Linked DNA regions of Oryctolagus cuniculus. The protein of the gene in region 1 interacts with the protein of each later gene in a biochemical or structural test. Links are inferred from orthologs where the notes say so. Each region holds a gene or a part of one and is shown on either strand. Other genes may lie near its edges.

What was found.
Region 2: the proteins of NOTCH1 (region 1) and MAML1 form a complex in vitro, tested with the Homo sapiens proteins (2 studies listed by BioGRID). The link is inferred for Oryctolagus cuniculus from reciprocal best matches to the Homo sapiens genes NOTCH1 and MAML1.
Region 3: the proteins of NOTCH1 (region 1) and SNW1 form a complex in vitro, tested with the Homo sapiens proteins (3 studies listed by BioGRID). The link is inferred for Oryctolagus cuniculus from reciprocal best matches to the Homo sapiens genes NOTCH1 and SNW1.
Region 4: the proteins of NOTCH1 (region 1) and RBPJ form a complex in vitro, tested with the Homo sapiens proteins (5 studies listed by BioGRID and IntAct, with this or other methods). The link is inferred for Oryctolagus cuniculus from reciprocal best matches to the Homo sapiens genes NOTCH1 and RBPJ.
Region 5: the proteins of NOTCH1 (region 1) and JAG1 form a complex in vitro, tested with the Homo sapiens proteins (3 studies listed by BioGRID and IntAct, with this or other methods). The link is inferred for Oryctolagus cuniculus from reciprocal best matches to the Homo sapiens genes NOTCH1 and JAG1.
Region 6: the proteins of NOTCH1 (region 1) and NFKB1 form a complex in vitro, tested with the Homo sapiens proteins (2 studies listed by BioGRID). The link is inferred for Oryctolagus cuniculus from reciprocal best matches to the Homo sapiens genes NOTCH1 and NFKB1.
Region 7: the proteins of NOTCH1 (region 1) and USP10 form a complex in vitro, tested with the Homo sapiens proteins (2 studies listed by BioGRID, with this or other methods). The link is inferred for Oryctolagus cuniculus from reciprocal best matches to the Homo sapiens genes NOTCH1 and USP10.

What each region holds. Positions count from the first base shown.
Region 1 is NC_091432.1:236,551,944-236,556,105, reverse strand, and holds the start of NOTCH1 (neurogenic locus notch homolog protein 1), read right to left. Parts: upstream 2,801-4,162; 5' UTR 2,617-2,800; coding exon 2,556-2,616; intron 1,420-2,555; coding exon 1,341-1,419; intron 1-1,340. UniProt on the Homo sapiens protein: Functions as a receptor for membrane-bound ligands Jagged-1 (JAG1), Jagged-2 (JAG2) and Delta-1 (DLL1) to regulate cell-fate determination.
Region 2 is NC_091437.1:67,743,013-67,747,151, forward strand, and holds the start of MAML1 (mastermind-like protein 1), read right to left. Parts: upstream 2,801-4,139; 5' UTR 2,652-2,800; coding exon 2,319-2,651; intron 1-2,318. UniProt on the Homo sapiens protein: Acts as a transcriptional coactivator for NOTCH proteins. Has been shown to amplify NOTCH-induced transcription of HES1. Enhances phosphorylation and proteolytic turnover of the NOTCH intracellular domain in the nucleus through interaction with CDK8.
Region 3 is NC_091451.1:23,450,505-23,454,647, reverse strand, and holds the start of SNW1 (SNW domain-containing protein 1), read left to right. Parts: upstream 1-1,343; 5' UTR 1,344-1,457; coding exon 1,458-1,471; intron 1,472-4,143. UniProt on the Homo sapiens protein: Involved in pre-mRNA splicing as component of the spliceosome. As a component of the minor spliceosome, involved in the splicing of U12-type introns in pre-mRNAs.
Region 4 is NC_091433.1:21,378,279-21,381,778, reverse strand, and holds part of RBPJ (recombining binding protein suppressor of hairless), read right to left. Parts: coding exon 3,464-3,500; intron 3,084-3,463; coding exon 2,980-3,083; intron 2,810-2,979; coding exon 2,497-2,809; 3' UTR 1-2,496. UniProt on the Homo sapiens protein: Transcriptional regulator that plays a central role in Notch signaling, a signaling pathway involved in cell-cell communication that regulates a broad spectrum of cell-fate determinations.
Region 5 is NC_091442.1:35,571,291-35,574,790, forward strand, and holds part of JAG1 (protein jagged-1), read right to left. Parts: intron 3,113-3,500; coding exon 2,999-3,112; intron 2,539-2,998; coding exon 2,492-2,538; intron 2,184-2,491; coding exon 2,010-2,183; intron 1,586-2,009; coding exon 1,435-1,585; intron 632-1,434; coding exon 467-631; intron 4-466; coding exon 1-3. UniProt on the Homo sapiens protein: Ligand for multiple Notch receptors and involved in the mediation of Notch signaling. May be involved in cell-fate decisions during hematopoiesis. Seems to be involved in early and late stages of mammalian cardiovascular development.
Region 6 is NC_091439.1:62,714,509-62,718,784, reverse strand, and holds the start of NFKB1 (nuclear factor NF-kappa-B p105 subunit), read left to right. Parts: upstream 1-1,476; 5' UTR 1,477-1,611; intron 1,612-4,276.
Region 7 is NC_091449.1:66,213,584-66,217,628, forward strand, and holds the start of USP10 (ubiquitin carboxyl-terminal hydrolase 10), read left to right. Parts: upstream 1-1,245; 5' UTR 1,246-1,362; coding exon 1,363-1,383; intron 1,384-4,045. UniProt on the Homo sapiens protein: Hydrolase that can remove conjugated ubiquitin from target proteins such as p53/TP53, RPS2/us5, RPS3/us3, RPS10/eS10, BECN1, SNX3 and CFTR.

The DNA.
Region 1 (4,162 bases):
GGGAACCGGGAGGCAGGGCGGCCCACGGGGGGGGGGGGGCAGTGAGAGTCCCCGGACCTGCGTCCCTCGGAGGCCCTGCTGCCCAGGGGTGGGGGCCTCTGCCCACGGCGCTTCCGTCCTGCCTTCCAATTGGCTCTGGGGGGTGGCGTGGGCACAATGAGGCCTCTGTGGCAGAGCTCGGCTGAGCGCCAGGCCCAACTGAGGCAGGCTTCCCGCCGGGCCCGGGCAGGGGACTCGGGGGGCGCGCGCCCGGCACCGCCCTCCCAGGAAGGTTCCCAGCCCTGGCCCGCGGAGCGCCGAGCGCCGAGGCAGCGAAGGGCGTAATTAATCACTCGGCATTAATCCGCCTCCCCAACAATAGCGGCTGCGCGGCCGCTGAAGCCCAGCTGTCGGCCCCTGAATGAAAGGAAACGAGATTTAGGGCCGCCAGCGTCCGCGAGGCTTCTGCACGGGCAGGGCAGCCCCAAAAGCCAGGGGGTAGAGGAGCCGGCATGCATTCATTAGTGCCTGACAAAGACACAATCCGCTTTGTCCATTAAACTGCACGCAGACGGCCTAATTGGCTTCGGCGTGGGGGGGGCTGCCGGCCCACAGGCCGGGCACCGGGGCGGCAGGAGCCGCCGGGGTTGCCACGGCAATGGGCCCTTGGGCGGTTGGAACGAGGGCGCCCACGGCTGGGGAACTCCCTCCGGTTCCAGACGCCTCTTCGTTATTCTGGTCAGGGACGAGCTGAACTTGACGGGCGCCGGCCGGGGGCCGACGGGGGGCTCCCGGGCAGGCGGGCGGCCGAGGAGGAGCACATTCCAAGACATCCCGGCCTCCGCCCGCCCACGCCACCCCGAGTCTGGGAGGTCAGAGGCTGCAGATGCCGAGACAGGAAGCAAACTCCCCGCAGGCGGCCCCACATCCCACAGCCCCAGGAGCTGGGTGCAGCCCGGCACCCCGGGCCCAGGGAGGGCTCTGGGCCGAGCAGGGGGTGGGTTTTGTTTGGAGCTGTTTCCTGCGCAGGGGAGGCGGCTCCCCGGGTGACACAGTGGGGGAGGACACACAGCACCCCCCCACACCCACCGTGTCCCAGGGTCTTCAGGAATCAAGGGGCGCCAGGGGTCGCCCCTCGACCCCGAAGCACACTGAGACCTCCAGCGGCCAGACCCGCGTGCGGCATAATTGCTGGTGATTAAGTAATTGCCAGGCTGGGTCCAATAAAAGTCAGCACGTGACCCAGCCGGCCTTCTGGGCTATCCCCAGAAGACAATGGCCCAGTGTTCCGGGCCGCAGCAGGCAGGGGCTCGGCTCCCCACCAAGGCAACAGGTCCCCGGCGCGACGCGGCGGTACTCACACGCAGGCCTCCGTGCCGTTGGCCACTTCACACCTGCCACCATTCATGCAGCTCTCCCCGGGCTGGGAGCATCTCGGGCCTGGGGAAGTGGGGGAGAGAGGGTGGTTACCGGGGCTTCCCGAGGGCCCACCCCTCGATTCCGGGGCATGAGCGTGGGGTGGGGAGCGGCCGGGGCCACAGCCCGCCCCGATGAAACCCGGGGGCTTCAGTGCTCTGGCCCAGGGTCTGTGCCCAGAGGTGGCCAGGCCTGGGAACAGGTGGGCGAGGCCAGCAGGTGAACTGGTGGGGAGGGGCAGCTGGAGCCCCCCCCAAGCTGGGTGCTGGGGAGCCCTGGAGGGCGGGGGCCCCGTCCAGCCACCCAGATTGTCTCGTGCGAACGCGATCTGCCAGGGCAGCCCCCACTCGTGGGAAAATGCGACAGCTGCGCCCCCGCCGCCCCGCCCGCCGACAAAGCGCCAGGCGCGGAATCAGAGCGGCCCATTGTCGCCGGGGCCGCCTCCGGGGCACGGGGACAGCGCCCGGGGCCGCCCCGCCTCCGCCGACACCCAATACCTGCCCCCGCGGCGGGCGTCTCCAGGGGCAGCCCCGCCACGGCCCCCGGAAGGCGGCTGCGGAGCGCGCGCGCGCGACCCCCGCGCGCGGCTGCCACGGGACGGGTGTGAGCTGGAACCCACTTTTTGGGAGGGGGTACCGGACAGGTCATTCTCACGCCCCGGAGTTCCCGACGGGAGCGCGCGGGAACCAGCGCCCCAGCCCGCGCGCCGCCCCCGCGGTTTCCAAACTTCAGCTGCGGAGAGCGACCGAAAACTCCAGTCCCGCCAGGCACGGGGGAGGCCTCGGCGCATCTCCCACCCCCACGCACCCGCCCGCGAGCCGGGCTGCGCGACACGCGCCGCGCGGCCCCGGACCCCGCGCCCCGCGCCCCGACATCCGGGCGCAGCAGAGAACACAAGCGGCCCCGACAAGCAACAGGAAGCCAGAGGGACTCGACTCAAACCGAGAAGCGGCGGGCGGCCGGCGGCGCGCCCCGCGGGGCCCCCACGGCCCCACGCCCGGCTCCGACCCCGACCGCGGAGCGGCGCCCCGACGAGGGGCGAGCGGCAGGGGCCGGGCCGCCGCTCCCTGCCCCTCCAGGGCCCGATCCCCCACGCGCGCCCGCGCGCGAAGTTTCCGGGGAACGCGGGGAGTTGCGGGCCGCGGCGGGCGGGCGCCTACCTCTCGCGGCCAGCGCGGGCAGCAGCGCCAGGCAGAGCAGGGGCGCCGGCAGCGGCCGCATGCCTGCCCGTCGGCTGCCCGCTGCCCCGGGCGGCGGCTCCCACGCACACGCGCGCCCGACGGTGCGGCGGGCGGGTCCCGCTCCCTCCCGGCCGGCGGCGCGCTGCGCTCTCGCAGTGTCCGGGCCGGCTCGGCGGCCGCTCGCCCCTCCGCAGCGCCCGCGCCCCTGCGCTCCCGCCCGCGGCCGAGGCACGAGTGAGGCGCGGGGCCGCGCCGCGCTCCGCCCCCGCCGGGAGAGCCGCCCCCCGCCCCGCCCCGGCCGGCCCCGCCCCGCGATCCCTCCGCACCCCGCGCCCCGTCGCGGGCCGCGCGTCCCTGCGCGCGCGCCCCGGGCGGCCCCGCGCCCCGCGGCCTGGGGCGCGCGTCCGGAGCCGGGCGCTGGGCGGCGGGGGGCCGCGGCGGCGCGGGGCGGGCGGCAGCGGGCGCCCGGGGACTACTTCTCGCTCTCAAGTTTTCGGAGGCCGAAAGTTTGAGCCGGGGCTGCGGAAGGATCCGCCCGGGCCGTCGCCTCGCGCGGCGACAGGGGGGCGCGATTTGCATCTCAATAGCCGAGGCGGCGCGGGCGTGGCGGGGCAGCTCGGTCCGGCGGGGCGCTGGGCCCTCGGAGCTGGGCCGGAGCGAGGCCTGGCGCGGGGCTCGGTGCGAAGCCTGGCTGCGTGGTTGGCCCGGCGGCTGCGCCCTCCGGGGCCTCGAGGGTAACAGCCCGGAGGATGGCGCCCAGACCCCCCACCCCCAACCCCGGTCACGATGACCTTGAGGGCTGATGGCGCCGGGGCCCCTGGAGAGAGGGGCCAGGGCCTGGCGCGGGCACGCGGTGGTGCAGGGAGACCCGGGGCTGTCACGCGCACAGCTGCTCCCACGTGTCCCGTCGGGCGGCCGGTTTTCCGCGCGGCAGTGCTAGCGCGTCCCAAGTGTGCCTGCCTTGGCCAGTTCACGCCGCAGCCGGGGCAGGGGGGCGCAGAAAGCTGGGAGCCGAGCGGGGCAGCCCTGGCCCAGGGGGGCGCACGCAGGCTGGCGCTCTGCGCACCTGACCCGCTGCCTTCTCTGGGCACACCTGTCTCCGGGAGACGCGGCGGCTCTGCGGCGGGGGGCCCGCTCCTGCCTTCCCAGAGCCAGAGCTGGGGTAGCACCTCGGGGTCAGCGCCCCGGAGGCAGCGCCGCCATGTTTATGTAACAGAGCCCTGCAGCCCATAGAAGGAAGAGCCGGGCTGCGCGGTCCGCACCCGGCGCCGCCCCTGCTCCCGCCGGGGTGGGGAGGGGGCCGGGGCTTCCGCTGGAGCCCTGCAGAGTCCCTGATCCCTGGGGCGGCCTGAACGGAAGGAGGGGAGCCCTGGCCTGGGGTCCTCCCCAGCGCTGCGGCCAGCACCTCCACTCTCAGCCTCTGCCCTCGGCCGGCAGGGAAGAAGGTGGCAGACCACAGACAGGGCCCTGGGTGTGCAGTAGGAGGGAGGCCCCCAGGGCCTGGGGCTGGGGCACCCACGTGGCAGGGGCTGGGCCCTCATCCACGCAGGAATGAGGCTCTGCGACCCCCGAGCCCCTCTTTACGG
Region 2 (4,139 bases), on another chromosome or scaffold:
TTAAAGAGCACAGAGTATAAAGAAAACCTCCTGGGCTCATTCCCTGACAACGAGGAGAGAAAAGAGCCTGAAGCTCTGTCCCTGCTTCATCTCCAGCAGACGGTGGTCAAGACTTTGCCGCAGGGGTATCCCAAGAAGAAAGCCAGTAACCTCAAGTGAAGGTGAACACAACAGTGTGTCTGCACCCTTTTCAGGCACACAGATGGTTTGCTAATTCAGTACCTGGCTGTGACATGACTACCGCACACTTGGGAAAAACAAATCAGAACTTCCTTATGAAAGGAATATTGATTAGATCAGTCACAGAAGATAATGACGGCTGAAAGGGGAACCTTCTCTTTCCCACCTCTCTGTGCAAAGCTGTGCTCTGCAAGCTGAGACCCTACTTGGTAAAGGACTCTCCCTGGCTCTGAACTGAAGGAGCCAGCAAGATGGAAAATGCCACTGTTTTCTCTGCAATAGTTACCTTCTGTTCCTACAATCCCATTCCAAGGCCAAAGAGCTCAGCTATAATCACCGGGAGCCTGCGAAGAAAAAGAGCCCTCTTCCTAGCAGAGACTCAAAACAGCAATTCCTACTCTAGGGTTTCCAACAAGGCAGTCGAGAGTCAGGGCTTACTGTGGTCACACAGTAAGCTAACACCCAAAAGGATGACCAGCAAGCCAGACATACAGTCTAACACACTCAGGATTAATCTCTCCTCAAACGGCACACACCTAGGTTCCCTTCAGGAATCCACGACTAAAAAAAAAAATCATTTGACCCCCGCCTTCAAACAGAAGTTGAATCACTACTACTAAACTTTTAAGGGGAGGTTCAAGGCAACTGTTTGCACATAAAACTATTTTTTATGAGCTTTTATTATTTCCTTCACTACTCTTAGGGCTTTCCTTAAAACAAGAACTGTCAGTATAGGTGGGTCACTAAGTTAAGTCATTTTGCTTTTTGAGGCTAGCGGATGGGCGGCGGGATTAGGAAGTAAACCACCACCAAGTTTAAGGTGATTCACTCAACATGTGCTGGGTCACTCCCCGTATGCCTTCAGGAGCTTACAGTCTAGTTGCAAGTTGTGACCTAAATATGTGGCTATGAGCTAAAAATACATATCCCAGACCAGCTTCCGAAATGTTCTGACAAAGGAGATCCTGAATGCTGTGGGCCAGGGTGGTCAGAATCCACTTTGAAAGCAGGAAGGGGATGAGATGGGCCCGGCAGGATGGCGGGATTCTGAAAAGTGCGGACAAGAAATAGACAGCAGCTGGTCAGTGTTGGAAATACTTTCACATCCTTACTCATTTATTTCGAATTTAGCAAGACCCTTTGGGGAAATAAGAAGCCCAACAGACTCCCAGTTTACAAGAGAGCAAAGCGAGGAGGAGATGACTTGGCCAATGGATACAATAAGCAAACGAAGTGGGCTGCGAACTCAGGATTCTTTCTTCAAGCCCAGCAGCCGGGCTGGTGCTGGAGAGGAGGAGGTGCGCAAGAGCACCCAAACAGAAGCTCTGCAGGGGACACCACAGGCTGGTCAGGGCAGACTGGTCCTGAAAGACACGCCAGTTTGCCCTCTCCCCCTCCAGCAAATGAAGTCTCCAGAATTTAAAGAGGAAGGGAGAAAGAGCCTGAAGACTCGGCAGGAAGAGTGGCACCACAGTCTCCCTGAGATAATAAAGATGTGCGTTTAGAATACACTGAACACGCCGAACTGGTAACATTTGTCTTAAACTGTCAATGTCCAAGAAAACCACGAACAAAAATGCCCTTCTCTCCCTTTATGTAAATCCCTTTCAGGGAGGAAAACAGAGCAAACCTCTAACTCAGAAACTTCATTGAACACCTACTGGGAAACCAACCAATCTACCAACAACCATGTAACAGAGAGATTTAAAACAGGCCTCCTAAGTTAAAACTGGAGTTGTCAACAGTTCCGCAGGAATCTTAGGTACACAGTGAAATTTCAGGGCGGTCTAAACAACGCAAGTCAAAGAAAGATTTTTTGATTTCCCATTCAGAAGCAGTTTGGTAAACTGAAGGCCGACCGATTTCCATATTAAAGCCCTGACCCTACTTACAGCTCGGGACCTTGCAAAGCCCAAAGACTCAATCAACATCTGAAGAATAAATGCGGCCAGGCCTGCTGTGCTTCGAGTCCACACCGCACCGGCGACCTGACTGCCAGTCGGTTCCAAAATAAACCAACCCTTCAACAGCCCGGGCCTCACGCAAAGGGCGACGGTGAGGCCACAGTGCCACTTCCCGGAGATGACAACCGCCCGGCTCCCCGCCGCGTCCTCTCCCCTCCAGCCGGCCTTACTCACCGCGCCCGGGCGGCCGAGCTCCGGGCCGTCGGCGGCATCCAAGCGCGCGGCCGGGGCGGGCGCCGGGGCCGGGGCCGGGGCGGGCGCCGGGGCCGCGGCGGGCGGCTGCCGGTGCTTGCCGGCGCGCTTGGCCTTGGCCTGGATGCAGCGCTGGTGCAGGGCGAAGGTGTGCTGGCGCTCGAGCTCCAGGCGCTCGGGCGACACGGCCTCGTAGCGGGCCTCGCAGGTGCTGTGGTGGCGCCGGCACAACTCGATGCGCCGGCGGAGGCGCTCCATGACCGCGCTGTGCCGTGGCAGCGCGAACTCCGCCATGGGGCAGGTGGGCAGCACCATGAGCCGCGGGCTGCTCGGGCCGGGCCCAGGGCCCGGCCTCTCGGGGCCGGCTGGCACTGCGCGCTGCGCTCCCCGCCGCGGCCCCTGTCTGCCTCACGGCCGCGCCATGCTCCTGCGGCCTGCGGAGCGGGCTCGCGCGCAGCGGCGGACCGTCCTCCTGCCCGCTCCGCCCGACCCCAGGCCGATGCTCGCTGCCCACCTCAGGCCGCGGCCTGTCCCCGCCGCCCCGACCCCATTGTTTTCCGCGCCGCCGCCGCCGCCATCTTAAAATTGTTTTCGGGGCTCTCGGAAGAGGGCGGGCCGCTGCCGGCGACCTCGCGCGTCACGGCTGACGGACAGAGGTTCTGGCCAATGAGGGGAGGAGGAGCCGGCCGCCCGAGGGCGTGGAGACGAGCACGTAAGGGGCGAGCTGGGGCTCCCGAGTGGTATTTAAAAGGAACTCCAGCGCTCGGGGCGGGCCGGAGCGCTAGGGCGAGCCTGCGACCTGGAGGCCAAGCCGAGTGTGACTGACGGGCGTCCGTACTAGCGGTGACCAGAGGTTTCTTGAACGCCGCCCCCGAAGGCAGGCCCTTCCGGGTCCCCGGGGGAAGCGGGATAGACGCCGAGCGGCGTAGCCGGCTGCCTAGCGGCCAGCGCTTCCCCATTCCCCTCCGCCTTCCGGGATCCGGCCGAAGAGCGCTGAGCAGCCACGCTGTTCCAGTGCCGGCCGGTTTCCTCCCTCGCCCCTCGCATCCAGCCCCGGAGCGGCCCAGGAGGGAGCTGGTAGAGGGTTCATCTTGCACCGTCTCGTCACTGGGCCTGCCACCTTCCACTTATGTACAAAGTCTGAACAACTTTTCGAAGTTTGAGTTACTTCCGAAAAAAAAAAAAAAAAAAAAAAGACCGGCAGATGGGCGGAAGTGTGTGGAGTCCGACTTTCTGAGCCGGGACTGCGAGCGTAGTCTGTTGGGTAAAAGTCACTCTAAAACTGCTATAGATACCAGGAAAAGTAAAACTAAATGGTGTGGCAGAGGGTCGGGCAGGCAACGCTAGGAACACGTGAAAAGGTAAAAGAAGAGGTACCAGGAGGCTGCACTTTGAGAAACACTCAGCAGCTCATCAAAGTTTTATTTTTAAAACCCAGGAACTTGGCTTTGGCTCTGGCCCCACCCAGCCACGCCGTTGCGGCATTTGGGGAGCAGATGGGAGCCCTGTAAAAATAATAAAAAGTGAGTCTTAATTACGTTTTCATAGAAATGCATAGACAAATTCTAACTTTTTAGTGGAGGAGGGACACAAAAGCAAGAGTGCCTAGGACTAAAGAAAGCCCTATGGAGCCCCATTACCAGTCTTCAAACATGTACATTCTACACGGTGAGATTATTTAAATAGAGTAATAGTAACTTCAGAGTGCTACATTTTGTGTACTTAGGTAAGTAATCCAAAAGCCTACTAGTACATTAACTCTTGGGGGATAACTTTCAAAATTACCACTGAAATATGTAAGTA
Region 3 (4,143 bases), on another chromosome or scaffold:
CAGTTCGAGTCTGGCTGCTCCACTTCCAATCCAGCTCTCTGCTATGGCCTGAGAAAGCGGTGGAAAATGGCTCAAGTCCTTGGGCCCCTGCATCTGCGTGGAAGACTGGGAAGAAGATCCTAGTTCCTGGCTTTGGATCTGCGCAGCTGCAGCCATTGCGGCCAACTGGGGAGTGAACCAGTGGATGGAAGACCTCTCTTTCTCTGCCTCTGCCTCTCTGTAACTCTGCCTTTTAAATAAATAAAACCTTAAAAAAAAAACTAAAAGCTAATCAAAACTAAAAGCTAATTAAATCTTTTTTTGAAAAAATAATCTATTTTTTATTTGAAAGGCAGAATTACAGAGAGAGATGGAAAGACAGAGAGGGAGGTCTTCCACCTGCTGGTTTACTCCCCAAATGGCCATAACAGCTGGGGCTGGGCCGATCCAAAGCCAGGAGCTTCTTCTAGGTCTCCCACGTAGGTGCAGAGTCCCAAGCACTTGGGCCAAACTCCGCTGCTTTCCCAGGTGCATTAGCAGGGAGCTGGATTGGAAATGGAGCAGCTGGGACTTGAACCGGCATTGCCTGTACTGCAGGTGGCAGCTTAACCCACTATGCCACAGTGCTGAACCCTGATTAGATCTTCAAACTAAATCTGTCACAGTTTTGACTTTTGACAGGTCTTTGTTCAGAAGCTCAGTCCAAATGAATGGCCTCCTATAAATCTTACTGAATATATTAAATCATATATATATAATGTATGTAGGTATATACATATATATTTATACACATAAGGAATATTCTCAAAGTGACTTGCTAAAGAACACAAAAATACAGTGGGTCTTCAAGAGGTTCATGGAAAATGTATATTATTATAAAAAAAACTGTCTAAATTTCAATTTTTTTTGGTGCATAAAATAACTATATTTTAATTCCCTTTTTTTCTACCAACGGTTTGAACTATCCCAGTTAAATCCCCAGGAGTGTTTGGGGAAGAAAGGGTACTGGTTCAAGAACAGTTTTCTGATTGTGAATGTTCTCAGAGCGTCCAAGAACGCTCCGGTCTCACGATTTCCTACCGTTTCAGAAACCCCATTGTCCTCCACTCAACTTGCTTCGGGCAGCCTCTTATACTTAGACACCTCTTCTAGGTGAATGGGTCTGAGCGGGGGAATAAAATAAAGGCGTTTAAAATGCCTCTCCCCCCACCCTCGTTATTTAGCCAAGGAAATGTCCTGTCATGTGACAGTAAACGAGTAATCAAGTTAGCCATTTACTCTTGACTTCAGGGGCCGTCCTGTAAAACCCCACGGGTCAGAAGAGACCCGAATTGTACTCACGTTTAAACAACTACAAGTCCCAGAAGGCTTTTCGGCGGCGGCGCCTGCGCATCGCGGGTTCTGCCCTCTTCGCTCCTGGTTGCCGGGAAAGACCCGCCCCGCGGCGCTGTCGCTCGCGTTAGAAGAAGCGGAAGAAGATGGCGCTCACCAGGTGGGTTGTTGATTTGGGTCCTTGATACGGAAGGGTCTGGTAGTGCCCCTCTTTTTCATGTCTCTGCCCCGTCGTCTCCAGCCAGGGATCTGGCTTAGGACACAGGAAGAAGAGAGCCGAGAGCTTGGCGAGGGCCTCCCGCCGGTCGCCGCGGCGGCTAGGCCTCCCCGACGCTGGGGTCTTTCCTGAGCGGCCTTGGGTTGAATTCGGCCCCTGGGCAAGGCCGAAACCCTCGGCGGGACCGCAGAAGCTGGAGAGCGGCACGTGTTTTCCGCTGAAGCCCCTTGCGGGTGTGTGGAGCGCGCGCCCTGGGGTCGGCGGCTCCGCGGGACGCGATGGCACCGTGGGGAGCGGGGCTTGCCTACGCGGGCGGAGGGAAGCGCGCGGGACGCGACTGCGCGACGCTCCGGCCGTTGTTCGCTTCTGGCTCTCTCCTTTTCTCTATCCACTCTGTCGCCCCGAACAAAGCTTCCCGAAAAGGGGGATCCGGAACTGATCGGGGAGTCTTCAGTTAGCCACAGTGGGGGCCGCTGTGTCCCCATAGGCGCCAGCGCTCCGCACTTTTAACTTTGAACCTTAGAATTTCTTCGGTGAAATCGAACCACCTTGGAGCGCTGCTGTGCCCGGTTGCCTTGGTAACCAAAGGCCAAGCGCTCCCTTCCTTTAGGAGAAAAAGATGCTCTAAGCGGGAGCTTCCGAGAAGTTACATAATTCCCTATGCGTGACCTGGCTGCCCGGTCTAAGTAGGCAAACTTTCCCCGCGAACTCATCTGGAAAAGTCGAGTGTGAAAAAATGGGCTGCAAAGGAAGCTGTCATTTTAGGGCGTGAGCTTGAGCTCCCTGACCATGCTTGGTTCTCCTCAAGCGTCTTCAGCCAGGCCGATGACACTGAATTTAAAAAAAAAAATTTACGCGACCATTCTTTTGGGAATGACGTTGAGTGCCTTGCTGTATTCAGGCGTTACGTATCCAGGAGATCTGTCTTTAGCTGCAACGCAGATGGGGCCCAAGGCATACAACTATCAAAGTGCTCATTTACATAGATGATAGTCTTAGTGCAAAAAGCAATTAGATGAAGAGAACTGCGTGGATCAAAGAGTTTGCTTTAGAAACTGTTACAGGTAGGTGCGAGGCATTGTGACATAGACAAGTAGGGTCAAGAGAAAAAGTTAGAATTTGAAGTGGATATGCAGGGAAAATACCAGGGATGTTGAGGGTATTGTGTGCTTAAAATCGCAATGGCAGAATGCAGTCTTTAAGTGGCCAGTCTTAGCAACTGTGTTGCTTTTCATATGCTATTTGTATACTTTTAATGTCCTCTATAATAAATCGGTAAACGTTTCCCTGAGTTTTGTGAGCTGGCCTAGCCAGTTGAACTCAAGGAGGGAGTTGTGGAACCCCAGTTTATACCTCGTGGGTGAGGAGTATACCCTGAGCACACTTGAAATTGGTATCTGAAGTGTGGCAGTCTTGCAAGACAGCCCTCAGGATCTGTCAGAATTGAATTGAATTGGACATTACCTGAATGTCTGGAAACTCCCCCCACATCTGGTGTCAGAAGTGTTGGGTGTGTTGTATTGGTTGATGAGTGAGAAACTTTTTCCTATACTTTTGCATTCCTATCTGTGCAGAGCTTGCCTTCTGGTTATATGAGTGAAACAAATCAATAATGCCATTTCAGGTACCAGGTACTGGGAAGACAGTAAAGGGTTGGAGGGTGACTCCAAGTTTGGAATCAAGTGGCTTTTTTGGACAAGGTGGTCACAACTTTAGGAAGGTGTAATTAGTTGAGCAAAGAGATGCGCTGCTAAATGCAGGCTGCTAAAAAGTTGGGGAAGAGTTTGCTGTAAAGGAAAATTGCTTTTAGTAAGTAAATAGACTATGTCATGGTAGAAGGAATAGCAAAGGTAAAGCTCCTGCAATGTCTTTTTAGGGAAAGATGACACGACTGTAGGGACATCAGGATGATGAGTGCGAAGTATCGAGTGAGCTATTTTCTATCTTTAAGGAGCCCCTGTTAGCTGGACAGTTACTGGGAAGTTGGGATGAAAGAAGTTAAATCCGTGGGCCCTGCCTCAAAGTTTGTGATGGTGCTGTGTGAGGATAGATGACTGCACTGCAGTGAGGTGGATATTTCTAGTGATGAAACACAGAGATACACAGAAAGTCTTTTTTTTTTGCCAGGCAGAGATAGAGTGAGAGAGAGACAGAGTTATAGACAGTGAGTGAGAGAGAGAGTTATAGACAGTGAGAGAGACAGAGAGAAAGGTCTTCCTTCCATTGGTTCACCCCCAAATGGCTGCTATGGCCGGCGCATCGCGCTGATCCGAAGCCAGGAGCCAGGTGCTTCCTCCTGGTCTCCCATGCGGGTGCAGGGCCCAAGCACTTGCGACATCCTCCACTGCCTTTCCGGGCCACAGCAGAGAACTGGACTGGAAGAGGAGCAACCGGGACAGAATCCGGCTCCCCAGCTGGGACTAGAACCTGGTGTGCTAGCGCCGCAGACGCAGGATTAGCCTAGTGAGCTGTGGTGCCGGCACACAGAAAGTCTTATGGGAACAGAGGTAGAGATAGCTAACCCAGACTGAAGAAATCATGCAACAGACAGGATGCCAGCTGGTTCAGGAATTTTTTCATTTAATACTTATAAGGTTGATAACTTTCATGATCTA
Region 4 (3,500 bases), on another chromosome or scaffold:
ACTTGAAAAGTCATTTTGAGCTACAAAGCTGGGTAGGGAATAGTTTGTTCTTCAAAAGCATCTCCTGTGTTATCAGCTGATTTTGTTAACACTTCTTGACTGACCATCTATAGGAAGTGGAGGAAACTTGTGGCCCATTCAAAGTAAAGCAGCATGGAAAACACCTTCACACTCCGAATACAAAGCACTGTATAGTAATTACTTCCCCAGACGTGACAGAGAGAATAAATACTACCCAGAAATAAGCAAGTTTGCAAGGAAAAGCTAGTGAACAGTTACAACAAAGAAAGATAAGGCCACAATGAGTTCTGCCCTTGATCACAGATTTCAGGTGTGAGGCAGGATTCATTTACAGGAGAGGAGTGAGTGACTGGAGCAGATCTGAAAAGGCGAGATATATATTTCTTTATTTATATATAGTATAATGCAGCCTGGGGTGATTAAAAAGGCTTGCAGTAAGAGAAAACCGCAACAACATAGATTTAACCACCTCGTGTGTTACAAAGGACTTTCCCCTTGAAAACGGAGGAAAAGGCAATTTGCAGCTGTTGGGAGCAGTATTTACAGTGGCAGAGTCTAAGCAGAAGACAGATGAAGACAGCAAAGCAGGGGGAAGGCTCCTAGCAAACGACGTCTACAAAGTCTAACGATGGAAACGTCTGGAAAATAGCCCAGGGCAGCAGAGACGCGGGGACGCTGCGGGAAGTTACAGTTTCGCACTCCTAAGGTACTTGTGGCTCTTGTTTTATGGGACAGTAAAAGCTTACCACGATCTAGAGGTAGATTTTACTCTAAGAAGGATGATTGTATTACTAGACTGCGTCCTGTGACATTTCTCACATGGCTCCTGTACTACTGTCATCCAACCAGTCTGCTGCAATTTCTAAGCTGAACAAAAGGCAGAACCAAAGTGCGAGAAGGGCAGCAACGTCCCACCGGCAAGGTGAGCGTGCGGGGCCGACACACGGCCCCGAGCGCAGGCACGCAGCAACCGAAAGGGAACGTCTTCTGAGCAGGAGACATTGGCAGAGGTGCTCAGTACTGGGGAAGAGGAGACCAAAAAAGGCAGAGAGGGAAACGGAAACGTGAGTTACATTTGCATTTGTATAAACTTACAACTATCTGTTTCTAAAGTACTGTCTTCCAGCTATTTGAGTTTATCACCTAATAAAAGCATCTTATGTTTGAAGGTTACAATGATGTTTTGGCCTAGGCTACCAAACAAAACAAAATGAAAACAAGAGGTAAAGGAAATGAAGCATGCTTCCGGCTGAGATTTTCCTCATTCTACCATAAGGGCACTATTACCAATTGATAGCAAATAATAATTCTCATGATAGCAATTTTTTTCCGTTTGCCAACAAGGCAGAAAAGACCCTGCTGAATGAAATCACTGGGAACATTCCAAGTTCAAAATAAAACGTTTAACTTACACATAATACAAGTTATGTACAATACTGGGGCGGGGAAGGACCTGAACACATTCTGGAGCACACAGATGTATTTACGTACGGGAAAAGGGGAGCCAACACTTCAAATACCAACGTGTTCTGTGCCATTAACTCATTAACTAAATGGCCACAGTGAATCCCACGTCAATGTTAGAACTTCTTGGATTACTGCTATAAATACAATTTCTTAAAAAAAAAAAGGGGGGGGGGGACGCGCAGAAGAACTCCCACAGTGTTGAGGACAGACTCTGGTGACGTCCACTGCATGTGGCAGGCAAGGCAGAGGCATTTCTTTTAAAGCTTTTGCACAGACTTCATTTAATCTTTAAAAAAAAAAAAAAATGCAGGCCTTTACAAGATTTGACTTGCTGAAATCTAAACGATTCCAACTCACGGAAAGTCATTAAGACTTCAGCTTACGAGAAAAAAAGAAGTTCCAGCCTTGGACCAAAAAACAAAACAGAACAGAACAAAACAACCTGGAATATGGTAATCAGCGATTAAACAAGCACGGTCAGGCTTGGAACCTGCATGTACTTTAGAGCAAAAGCTCCAAGGGGTGGGAGAAGAGCCTATTTGGTAACAAAGTGTACTATATATTGCGATATAAAAAAGGCATGGTGAAAATGTACCTTTTACTAAAGCTTATACAAGTTCCTTGGTCCGTAAAAACTAGGTTAATTTTTGCCTTCTAGTTTGCTTAACTTATATTCCAGCCACATATCTATTTCTGGCCCATTTAAACAAAACCAACCAAAAAGCAACCAACCAAACAACACAAAAACAATGACAAAAAAAAAAAAAAAAAAAAAAACAGCCAAAAATTCGATTCCAATAGTTTGTACATTTGGATGTTGTTTTTGTTTTACTGTGGCTTCTGCATTTCAAATCAGCACTTGCAGGTAACGGGGGCTTTGAACAGGATCACCTGGTATGAAAAGTTTTCCCAAGAAACCACAAAAAGATTGTTCTTTTTTTCTCTTTCCTTTTTCTGTCAACTTTTTGCCACCCTCGAGTCAGTTAGGTCCCAGCAAAAAGACGGTGGTTAGGACACCACGGTGGCTGCCGATGTGACGCTGGCCGCGTTGGTGCTGGCGTTTGTGTAACTTCCCTCGCTGTTTGTGTTGGACTCGCTGGGGGGCACTTGGCTGGAGCTGGCCCGGAGGATGGCTCCCGCCGCGCTGCAGTGAGGCCGCGGCCCTGGCTCTGGCGTGTAGGTAAAGGTAAGGCTGGTGGAATAAATGATTCCATCGTTCCGGACCAAAGTTACTGGAACCTGGACTGGCTGCCGGACCCATCGCCAGCCTTCTCGGAATGCAGAAATGTCTGGGACGACACAGAGCATGCTCTCCCCACACCTGTGAGGACAAGGAAATCACTTAAAAACCGCAGTGAAAACAAAGCGTGTTCCAGAGACTTCACAGAAGGTCATTTCATCTAACACAAGCACTGTCAGGACAGAACCTCAGTTCCCACACACACACACACACACACACACCCACGGTGACAGGCGAGTGTTAACAAGTACCTGTACATGGTTTCCGCTTCTACATCCCCAAACCACACTCGTAAATTTGGAGTGAAATTCTGGCCTGTGAGTTCAAGCATTGCTACGTCTCCGCCGCCGTTCAGCTGCAAGTCACAGCAAAATCGCAACACTCAGAAAACCCCATTTTTCATTAAAGTACACAAATTAGATTCTCATTCAACTGTCATTTCACTTGTGAAAGCTTGTAAAAGGTTCTGCTTGACAAACGCTTCTTTCAAATGGCACGATTACAAAGTTCGCTAAAACACTTCATGATTAAAGTGCAAGGGGATTTAAATTTGCATTTTCTTGCATGCAAGTCCCTCCCTCCTGTTTTCTTCTTCTTTATCAATAACAGAAGTAGAACAAAAACGCTAAATCACAAGATTTGGGGGCAGTTAAAATTACTGTGGAATACAATTATGCTGAGCCCCAGTCAAGAGTGGCCGCACAGAGCTCATGGCCAGCGTGGGAGCGGTCTTACCTGAAGACTTTCTACGACAGGCACCGGGGTGACTGGG
Region 5 (3,500 bases), on another chromosome or scaffold:
TATCTGTGAAAGGAAGGAGGAGGAGAAGGATAACGAACTAAGGGGGCTGAAGGACAAGTCACGCCACAGCCAAGCCCTGCACATTCCCGGCATCTCAGCATGCTCAACTCCATGGGCACCGTTTTCCGAAACATACAGGCAGCTCAGTGAGCAGGGGCCTCCAGACAGTGCCTCCCCATGTGGTTTTATGGCCTCACTCACAAAGCTACTTAGGGGACACGGGGAAGAAACTTTTACAGAAGAGAGGGACCATCTATACTTGTAGGACTCCAGAACATTCCAGAACAGGCAGGGAGGCCCAACAAGATCTCGTAAATGGAACATGACCTCAGTCTCAGGTCCCAGATGTAGTAAGCCTTTGCCAGTCTCCCCAGTCTTCCCCTTTCTGGTTAAATGACTCCTCCCACCCCACCCCCAGGCTGGGCAGTGGCAGCTGTGGCCCATTCCCCGATGAGAGGGGTCTTACTTTCATGGCAGTATGTTCCCGTGAAGCCTTTGTTACAGTCACAGGTGAATTTGCCTCCCGACTGACTCTTGCACTTCCCGTGGGGACCACAGACGTTCGAGGAAATATACCGCACCCCTTCAGGCGTGTCGTTGGACGCCATGGCCACTGTGCAGCTGTCAATCACTAGAAGACAGGCTGGGGATCAGATCACAGCCAGGGACATGCACAGACATGGCTTTCCTAAGCCAAGGCCGCCATAGGCCAAGCCCTGTTTCCTGGAGAGGAGTGCCCTTTGGCTGAAGAGGGGAGAAGCACTGGGCGGCAATGTGCCCTGTCGCGCAATGGCAGGTGGGGCCGAGACACCTCGTGGAGATTGTTTTCTTAAAGCAGTCTCCCCCCTGCCTGTGGGCTCCTTTCATCCCACTCTGGCATGTGGTAAATGCTTGCTAAGGAAAAAACCTCCTCCCTCCTTAATCTCGCGTCAAACAAGACGCAAGGACAAACCTGCAGAAGCCTTTAAAAGGTTGTGCCGCCTACTACAGCAGCCACGGGTCATAAGTGGCTACTGGCATTTAAATGAGTTTCTAGTGACACTAGTTCACATTTCTAAATGTTCAGTGGCCACCGTGGCCCGTGGCTACCACACCTGATGACACAGTTATGGGACATTCCCCGCTGTTGCAGGAAAGCTGCTGCCCTGAGGAATTCAACTTGGGGTTGCCAATCAGCCCACCCCAGAACAAGAGTGAGAAATGGATTTCACATGCTCTCCCCTGGGCTGCCTGTAGGCAGGGTCCTCCCACTGCTGGGCCTGAATAGATTGTTTCCAGGTGTCCTGACTTCCCTCGGCAGGCAGACCATGGTAGTTTCAATCTGTCAGTCCTCCTTAGCTCTAGGCCCTTTCTGGCAGTACCAAGGAGAGGTGGCGAATTGGGGTGAAAAAGGACGAAGTCTGGGGAAAACCGGGTTCTGGGGGCCGGGGGTACCTTCACAAGGGGTCGTGCGGCAGTGGTCTTTCAGATGCGAGCAGTTCTTGCCCTCATAGTCCTCAGGGCACTTGCAGAAGTAGTCGCTGGCACGGTTGTAGCACTGGGCACCGTTCTGGCAGGGATTGGGCTCGCAATAATCTATGTCGAGCTGCAAATGTCAAGTGCAGGGAAGGAGGGAGGGGAAAAAAAAAAATCAAAGTAAAACAAGCGTCATGGCCTCTGCTCTGGGGCAGGAACATGACCCTCCATCTACTTCTATAAAGAGACACCATGTGTCGTATGTCCTAGGTCCAGGTATGTATTTGAAAAAACAGAGCAGAGAAGAGCACGCGCTGAGCCGGGGGGTGATGGAAATGGAACACAAGGCCAAACAGTATGGGCTACAGGCCTGAAGCAGAGAATCCTTCATCAACCTCTCCTGCCAGCCAGCATCTGTCTAGCGGAGCTCCTAACCAATAGGACGTTAGACACCACGAGACTCCAGACACGACAGTCAAGAGGGGGGCACGGAGGAAGAAGGGAGGCGGCAGCGCTGTGGCAGCTTGGCCGTCTGAGGTTTCATCAGCACTCACCTGACAGAGGTTTCCAGAGAAACCAGTGGGACACAGACACTGGAATCTGTTGATTTCATTCTGACAGTGACCCCCATTCAAACAGGGGTTGCTGGCACATTCATCGATGTCTTTCTCACAGTGGTTGCCTGCATAGCCAGGTGGACAGATGCAGTGGTAACCATTCACCAGATCCTGGAGGGGCAGAAGCGGTAGGAACACATGCTGACTCTGTGATCCAGACACAGGGCTTCCCCGCCTGTTCGCAGGGCCACTGCCGTCCAGCTAAAGCACTCCTAACTGCCTGAGGCCATAGGAATCTCTATGTCTTCAAAACGACCCCCCCAGGAGGCCAGGGAATGCGAGCCCCGGGAAACATCCAGAGACCCCCTCTCCACCTGCATTTCTCAATCTCAGGGGGACAGAGCTCTCCCTGCATCCCATATATCTTGAGATCTGCTGTCAATCACCCAAAGTTTGGATTCAAGCAGAGGTCTACATACCCGACAGGCGGCGTCATTCTGACACTGGCCAAGGCAGTCATTGATATCTAAAAAGTAAATAAGTCATCACATTAAAGAGGCAAGTTTTTTCACAACTTCTATAAGGGAACAAATTTCATATATACAGATGGAGATGCACAGTGAGGAAAGAGATTTACCCTGAAATATAGCTTCACGGAAAAGCCCCCTCAGCTCGGGACAGACCAAAGTTTCCCACCAAGGTCCCCCTGTGAGATGAGGCTCCCCCCCCACCACCACCACTGCTCCAGACTCAGGGAGTGAAACAGCACACCCTTGTCCCAGCCACCTTATCAGACTACAGCCAGGTTAGCAGCTATGGAGCCCGACAAAGCGTATGCTGGCACTGCTGCACTGACCACGACCTCTCCAAAAACATCCCCAGTTTAAGTGTTCCTTCCATGGCTCAAGCCTCAGAACTGCAGCCCAAGCAGGGCTGGGCAAGACCCTTCAAATCCCCCAAGTTCTGGGGGAAACCAAGTCACTCACTTATGTCACAGTTCTGACCCATCCAGCCGGGAAGGCAGTCACAGTAGTAGCTGGCAATCAGATTCTTACAGGATTTGGCATTTACACAAGGTTTGGCCTCACATTCATTTGCATCTGAAAGGAAACAAGGATGACCACTGAGACAGAGTTCTCTCCCCCACCTGCCCCCCCCTTGGAAAGAAACACCACAGAGTTGGTGTGAAATAAGAGACCCTTTAATAAGGCAGCACAATAAGAGGTACCAGGCTCCTCTATTGTGACCATCTGAGCCCCCTCCCTTGCATTGTCCAGGAAGGAGAGCTAATTGATAACTTCCCAGCTGCTGGTTACCAACCGGCCCCGCAACAGAACAGCAGAAAGCCACCAAGCATTTCTGTGCAAAACCCAGCACAACACTAGTTGCTGGGATTTAAATGTGCCAAAAAGAATGCAGACAGCTCATTCCTCATGAGATCATCCCCGTTTGGAACCCAGCTGAACGCTCCTCGGACAGACGATTGAC
Region 6 (4,276 bases), on another chromosome or scaffold:
ATTATTTATTTGTTTTGAAAGTTCTTCACCCACTGGCTCACTCCTCAAGTGGTCACAGAAGACCACTGGGGTCTCCCACATGGGTGGCAGGGACCCAAATACTTGGGTCATCTTCTGCTGCTTTCCCAGGTGCATTAGCAAAGAGCTGGATTGGTAGTGGAGCAGTGGGGCTCAAACAGGTGCTCATATGGGATGCTGCCCCCCCTCAGAGTTCTTTCTTGGGGTGCTAACCTACCATAGTGTCTCCCCAGCCCGTGCTTAGCGCAGTGTCAGGTGCGGGCAGCAGCTCAAATCCAGGAATGGTGGTCAAGGGGAGGCCCGTCTGCAGGGGCCAGTAGCAGTCTACCCAGCAAAAAAGTAAAGAAGGAAAGAAGGAAGGAAGAAAGGTAAAAAGAAAAACTCCTTTCTGCCAAATCAAGATTTCCCTATGACCCGTGAACCAAAACCATCGCTGCCACCCTCACTCTCATTCTATCCACGGTAATCATCAAAAGGCCCGACCGTAGCTCTGGGTGGAAGCTGTGAATAACTGGCGCAAAACCAGGAGATTAAAGACCTCGCCAACGCCCAGAAGATGTTCCTACTGCATTGGACCTAAGTCAGTTATGCTATCGGAATTCCAGTTTACTCTGTGAGGAGATTCGGGTGTAACCGAGACGGACTTAAATGGAACATACAGATGAGATTTATTTTTGTAGCTGGCAGGCTTGGATGCATGCCGACCCCTCATCGCCGCCAGCTGCTCGGGCCTGCCTTTCAGGACTCCGGACCGCCCGCTCCCACAGCCGCCGCCTGCTTGCCCGGACAATTCGGGCCCGCAGGCGCTTCCTGGGGACGTCCCCGCTCGCCCCCAGCCCTCCAGGCTGCGAGAGCGCCGGGCCAGCAGCAAGAGCCCTGCAGGCCACCCGAGCGTCCAAGGCCGCCTGAGCGCGCTCCGCGTCTCTACGCTGCCGCCAGGGGCGGGAGCCGAGCCGCCCCGCCAGGCCGGACCGGGGGCGCGGGGCGCCTCCACAAGTGCGGGCTTTCCCCACCCCCGGCGGCGACCCCACCTCCCGCCCCCGCGGCGTGCGCGCCTGTGTCCGTCTGTCGGTCTTCTCTCTCGACGTCAGTGGGAATTTCCAGCCAGGAAGTGAGAGAGTGAGCGAGAGAGCAAGAGAGAGAAGTGCACCAGCGAGCCGGGCAGGAAGAGGAGGTTTCGCCACCGGAGCGGCCCGGCGACGCGCTGACAGCTTCCCCTGCCTTTCCCGTCGGTCGGGCCTCCAGCCGCCGCCACCGCCACCGCCGCCCTTGGCCTGAACGCCGCCTGCCTCCCCGTGCCCACAGACCGGCGCAGCCCAGGCCGGAGCCGCCGGGCCAGGAAGGCGGTGCAGCGCCGCCCGGCTGCCGAGCGCCCCGCGCTTGCCTCCGCCCGCGCTGCGGACATGGCGCGGCGCTGACGGGCCCGGCCCGGTCCGACCGCGCGCCTGCTCCCGCGCTCCGACCCGCACCCGGGCCCGCTCGGGCGCCGGCTCCAGCCGGCTGCTGCCTCTTCCTTCGCCAGCGCGCAGGCCCGCGCCGCCCCGGAGGGCAGCCCCTAGGCGCCGGGAGGCCGCGCGCGGACCCGCCACCAGGGTAAGCCAAACTCGGGCAAGTGGGGGCCTCGCTGGGGACTGGGGGCCGCGTCCCGCCGCCCACCCGGCCCGCAGCCCCGGTACGCCCCCTTGGCCTTCCTCATTCCTGCGCTAACCGCTGGGCCAGACCGTGGGAGGAGGTTGACAGTAGTTGAGAGGCACATGGGCTTTGGCGACTGGGGGGAAGGCACATCCGGACTGCGCGGGGCTGTGCGGCCGAAGGGCCGCGGCCGCCGGAACCCTCCAGTCTCCTGAGCCCCGCTGCCCGGCGAGCACGGGTACCAGAAGCGACTCTTGGAAACTTTTTTTTTAATCCACACCCCTTGTCTCTGTCTGGGGGTGTCTGGAGGTTTGGGGTACGCTGCGGCGCGGAGGAGATCGGGGAAGGTGGTTGGTGCAGTGCAGAACCAGATTTCACCTAAGGGCGTTCCATGAAATGAAAGCAGAAGTGCTTGTCAGTTCTCTAGGTTGGAAAAGCCCTCCCCAGCTTCCCAGAATTAAACAGGAGAGCCTATTCCTCCCTATTGGACTTCTGAAAGAGAGAAGCCCTCGCTTCCCACAAGTGCCCGGCGTGTGTACATACATACGCACACTCACACACACAGCGACAGGGCCTAATCTGTTCACCTGCTGTTGGACCTGCGCATTAGTTTTCAAAAAATGGGGGCCTGGTACTCATCCTCCAGGGCCTGGCGTTAGAGAAAGATGAGAAATCACACTTAGAGCACTTTTCACTGGATTATGTAAAGCTCTGGACAGTGGCATCGTGCATTGTGCCTAACCTCGAAAACCAAACTCATGATATAAACCAAGACTATTCTAAAGATAAGTTTTCTTATGAGCTTTTAAAATAGACTCTGATGGACGTGTTTAATTTGGCCTATCCTGCAACTTAACTGGTACTTAATGATTTAGGATTTAGTTATCAAGACTGAGGACAATTTCTGATCTTTTAACTAGAGGTTTTCAGCATTGCAGCTTATGAAATAACATTGTTTAACTCCAAGGTTTTCTTATAAAGCTTATAATCTGAGAAAAATGTTATGGTATTGCTAAAATATTTAATAGTTCTAGCATCAGAATGTTTTTCTACAAACTGAAGATCTTTGGTAAATACTAATACTTGAAAACAAAATTATCAATAATTATTTTTCTAGCAGGATTCCTCAACTGAATATTCTTGAATAGTTTTAACTGTATTAGTGTGTGCTGGAACTTTAAGAAGGAAACTTAATTAAAATAAAACCCTTAGCTGAAGTATGTTGTTTTCTTGATTTTAATATTGTGCTTTCTAGAGATGAATCCTTCTATTGTTTTATGTACTAAAGAAATTAGGTAAATAAAGTGAAATGCTTTTTGAGCTGATGAGCTCAGGAAGATAGGAAATCAAAAGAGGTGTGTTTCTTTTGGCATTTTACATTTATCATGGAATTGAATTCCTAAAATGAAGGGTGTGTATATGTGTATGAAATGGAAACAGGAAATCTCATAAAACTGTTCATCCATATTGATATACCTGCAACTCCTCAATGCCTTCCTTCACTTGTTTAGGTAAAATGTCTTCTTGGGCAGCCTAGTAGGCCAACTTGAACACAGAAGACTCATTGTATGTAGGTTTTAATGCTGGAAATTAACTGCTGCTTGTTGTGGAAAGTGTACCACTTTTAAACTACTTGAAGAACATATTTAAGAAAACAGTATAATCCTATTAGGAGTTGGTGGTGATTTGCAAATCTGTTATCCTAGTTTTGAAATTGCAGTTTTATCTTCTGTGCTACAGTTGGCCCTCACGTGGGCTGAGTAGATGCTCCTGTTTTTCAAACTCAGTAAAATGAGGAGTATACCCATAAAAATGGTCTTGTTCCCCTTTGTGAGCACTCCTTTGATCTTTGCACTTCCTTTTACTCCTACCACTTAAACAATATCATTTGTGATGACTGAGTTGGAGTTGGTTAAAGCTCAGTTATTCTGAAATAGGCAGGTTTATAGATCTACTGATCATAGTCCTTGCATTTCTCTTATCATTGTTCCTTGAAACAAATTGAAACTAGATTGAGTAACTAATATTTATGCAGGTTGTTTTTGCTACTGTTTTTAGAGTTCCAGGTAGTGGATGAAGTAAGTTACTGCCCTGACTTTGAGGGATTGCCCATTGTGTTAGATAGGAAATTTAGATAAACAGTTGGCAGCTTACATGGATCTTGGACAATGATTCAATCAGCAAACCCTTATTTTTACCTAATTGAAGTGAGATATTCCCCTGTTCAGAAGAGGCGAAAGTTCTGGCTTCTGGGGGGAAGTGGTTACTTCCTAACCTTCAATTAGTTTGAACTCAAAGAGTAGAAAAGTAGTTCACAGTTTAAAACCATAAGTTAAAGTAATTCTATCTGTGTTGTTATACAGATTTTTGATGAGTGCTCAAAATATCTTACCTTCAGAACATACTAGTAGATGTGCTTTTCAAGGAGGTGACTGCTGTAGGAAGTTAGATCTGCAAGAGTCGAGAGAGCAGTTTAACAGTGAGTAAATATTCAAATTACGCTCTTCTGTCTACAGATTGAGCAGGATTCACATTCATATGGGCACATATGAATCAACAGCTGTGCAAATTTCTCCTTGATTTGTCTTTTAGTGGGACGGTTGTTTTGTATAGGTGGTTAATTGGC
Region 7 (4,045 bases), on another chromosome or scaffold:
GCTAGGGCTGGGCCAGGCTGAAGCCAGGAGCCTGGAGCTTCTTCCAGGTCTCCCACATGGGTAGCAGGGGCCCAAGCACTTGGGCCATCCTCTGCCGCTCTTCCCAGGCCATTAGTGGGGAGCTGGATCTGAAGTAGAGCTGCCAGGACAGGAGCCAGCACCCATATGAGATGCTGGTCTTGCAGATGGTGGCTTTGCCAGCTTCGCCACAATGCTGGCCTGGGGGCATTCTCTTCACAAGCTCAACATCATCATCACGTGATGAAAGTCAGCAGTAATTCACTCATCATCTATATGTAACCCGATTTCTGATCTGTCTATCACAAAACAAGCCGCAGGGGCCAGCAGCGGGCATCCCACAGGGACTCTGGTTCAAGTCCCGGCTGCTCCACTTCCAGCCCATCTCCCTGCTAATGCACCTGGGAAAGCAGCGGAAGACGGCCCACGTACTTGGGCCCCCTATGTCGGAGACCCGGATCCAGCTCCTGGCTCCTGGCTCCGGCCTGGCCCAGTCCTGGACGCTTGGGTCATCTGGGGAGCGAACCAGCGGATGGAAGATTTCTCTCTCTCTGTAACTCTGACAACCAATCCTGAAAACAAACAGTAACACCAGCTTGCAACACTGGGGATTCCACCGAGACCCAATGTATCTCACTGCGGCGTCTTTGTAGCGCTTCCTCCGCACACTGCCCGGCCACTGGGGCTGCGCCGGCTGCAGGATGCATCACCGGGGGCTGCTCGACCCGGGCTCCCCGTGGGCGCGTGACAGCCGCACACACGGTGGCAGCCCGCGCTCGGGGGGCTCCCCGGACCCAGGATGGTGGCCAGGCCTCACGGCAGGCGCTTCACCTGTGTGCCTGGCTTCGGTGCTTCTGGCTTTGGGTTTGCAATGCCCGCGTAAGGCGTGGCTCGGAGCCAGGGCCCCGGCAGAACCGCGAGGGAAGCAGTGAACGAACGCACGGGAGGGCGACTCCGCTAATCTGGAGACGCCCTCCTCGGGGGTCTGATCAGCCAAGGGAGACTCTCCTGGAGCAGCGAGGGCCCCGGGGGCTGGGGGCACTAGCTCCCCCTGCACCTGCACGCCCTCTCCCCATCAGGCCCGCACCTGCCCGAGCCGGCGGGGCTCACAGTCCACCGGCCCGGCTCCCGCGGCCGCCCGGCCCGGCCGGAGGCGCCCGCGCACGCCCACCTGCCGGCCGCGCACGCGCAGCAGCGCCCCGGCCGCCCGCGCCCCGCGGCGCGCCGCCAGTGCGCAGGCGCGGCGGCCGATGCGAGTGTGTATGTGCGGGCGAGAAGATGGCGGCGGCGGGGGAAGCAGCGTGAGCCGCCGGGCCGCGCCGAGTCCCATTCAAACGGGCCGCCATGGCCCTCCGCAGCCCGCAGGTAGCCGGCGGCCCGCGCCCCCGGCCGGAAGGGGCCCGAGCCTGGGGGAGCGCGCGCGGGCGCGGGCGGCCGGGAGCGAGCGTGTGGGGTGGGGGAGGGCGCGGGACCCGCCGCCCGGGCCTAGGCCCCGGGGCCGCCGCCGCCGCCCGGTTCCCGCTCCCCAGTCCCCGGCCCCGCGGCTTCCCGGGGCGAGCGGGGCGCGGCGCGGCCCCGGGGTCTCTGGCGGCGCCGTCGGCGCGCCCGGGCCTGCCGCCGCCGCCCGCGCCCCGCGCCCCACGCCCCCGGGCCGCCCCCAGCGCCGTGGACCCCGCGGGACCCGCCGGCGCGGGTGGGCCGGGGGCCGGGGCCGCTGAGGACAGCGGCGCGGGCGTGCGGGTGCCGCGGGGCCCGGGGCGGCGCCGGCGGGGGGCGCGGCGGCGGGGGTCCCCTGTCGCGCACGGGGGGGAGGTGCTGGGGGCGCGGGGCGCGGGCTGGGGGTCGCGCCGGCCGTGGACCCCGGGCTGGGCGCCGGCTGAGCCCCGGGCCCCGGCGCCGGCGCCTGGGCGGCCGCCGCGCGCCTCTGAATGAGAGGTGGGAGAGCGGCACAAAGTAGGTGCGGGGCGGGCGGCGGGGCAGCTCCCGCCTTGCCGCGCCGCTTTGTTGGCGGCGGCTCCCCCGGGCGGGCCGCGGGCCTTTCCTTAAATATGCACGGACAGCACCTCTCGGGGGGCTCCGCTCTTGGGGCGCCCGCTCCGGCGTGCCGTCGGAACTTCCCGGTACTCGGGTCGCCGGGCAGCCGGTGCGTCGCGGGCTTTTCCCCCGGGAGGCCTGGCGTGCGTTTCTGCGGGCTTCGCGTGCACAGAGGCTCCCGCACTTCCTATACTCGGTGCCCGGGCTCGTTCGCGGAGGCCACGCGTGCCTCCTGGCGATGGCCTTTGCGTCCGTGGCCCGGGACTTGTGCCTCTGGCCAGCGCGAGACTGACCTGCGCCTCGGGGCCGAGCGCGGTTGGACCCCTCTTCCTTTCCTGTCTAAAAGAGAGTGGTGGAAGGAAGCAGTGGCGTCCTGAGCAGGGTTTGGCTGTTGGACCGGCCGGGTCTCGGTCACGCTGTCCCGAGAGTCTGGGCGCTTGGGGCCCCGTCATTCATTCAGCAGCGATCGCCGAGCCCCGAGCCAGGCAGGCTGACCCGGTACGAGGTAGCTATCGCAGTAGCAGCCCCAGTTAGCCTCCTTTACAACCGACTTGTTAAGGCTACAGTTTTACAGTTTTGTGTGGATTGTAGCCTGTTTCCATCATACTGGGAAGTGTTGGTTGAGCCCATTCCCTGCGCGGAAGTGGAGCAGTGAAGTTGGAAACATTTTGAGTGCCGCTGGCTTGGGAGGGTTGAACCCTGTTGAAGAGTAAGTGTGTCTGCTCCATGAGTGTCTGTGGTCCCGAGGGACCTGCGAGTGCCTGGCTGACGCCTCCCTGCCCCGGAGCCTCACAGCGCTGAGCGCCCCCCCCCCCAGTCTTCATCCCCTGGGGGCTGTGGGGACCCGCCGGGTGTGGTGACATTCCTGCAGTGTGCTGGGGTACTGACTGTATGTAGAGGGCGCATCCCGAGACTAGATGCGATGCCACAGGTGTGTGTTCTCTGTCACCTGAGTGGGCGTGGCGTGTCTGGTGCCAGCGGCCCCCATCCAGGGCCTGTCCTCCGTGTGGCTGGGCCCAGAGTGTTCTGAAGTGGCCCTGAGAGAAGCGTGGCCCCCTGCCCTCTGGGTTCCTCTCCAGAGCAGACGCCGGGCCCGTGTTCCAGCGCTGTCAGGGGAAGGGACGTGGCCCTGAGGCTGGACGCCGGCTTTCAGCCCAGACCTGGGGGCGTGGGCACATGCCGTGCTCAGAACACACTCAAGGGGTGGGGGAACCGGGGTCGTCTCCACTCGAATTAGTTACAGTGAGGCTATTTCGTTTTGCCTTCTTTTTTAAATTTATTTATTTGTTTGGAAGAGTTACAGAGAGCAAAGGGAAGATGTACAGAGAGAGAGAGAGAGACCTTCCGACTGTTGGACACTCCCCAGATGGCCGCAGTGGCTTCTTCTGGGTCTCTCACGGGTAAAGGGGCCTAAGCACTCGGGCCACCTTCTGCTGCTTTCCCAGGCCGTTAGCAGGGAGCTGGATCACAAGAGGAGCAGCCAGGACTCGAACCGGTGCCCATGTTGGAAGTTGGCATTACACACGATGGCTTTACCTCCTGCGCCGTGACACTGGCCTCTTGCTTTTTTATTTTTTATATATTTTTAATGCAGATTTCAGACCTGTAGGTGACTCTTGCTAGGTCTGCTTCCCCGTTAAGCCTGGCTGCTGAGGGCGCCGCTCCTGCTGGCCTGCTGGAGAGTGAAGGGTTAGGACGTGCTTGCTCTTGAATTTGCACGCGGCTGCCCCGCTTCTATTCACTGCCGCACATGCAGGAATCACCGTGGCACAAAGCAGACAAATCTGTCTGCGGTGGAGTTTGCTGGCCTGGGGCCGCTGGATTACTGTCATCTGTCACTTTAGTGCCACTTCAGCAGTGTAGGTGTCGTTTCCAAAGACTCGCATGTGCTTGGGCTGCACTTTTCCTGGTGATCGGTGTGGTCACGCAGAGGTCTTTCCGGGACCGTTTTGTCAGTACTGGCTGGGTTAAGAGCTGGGCGGGGGGGCAGCGC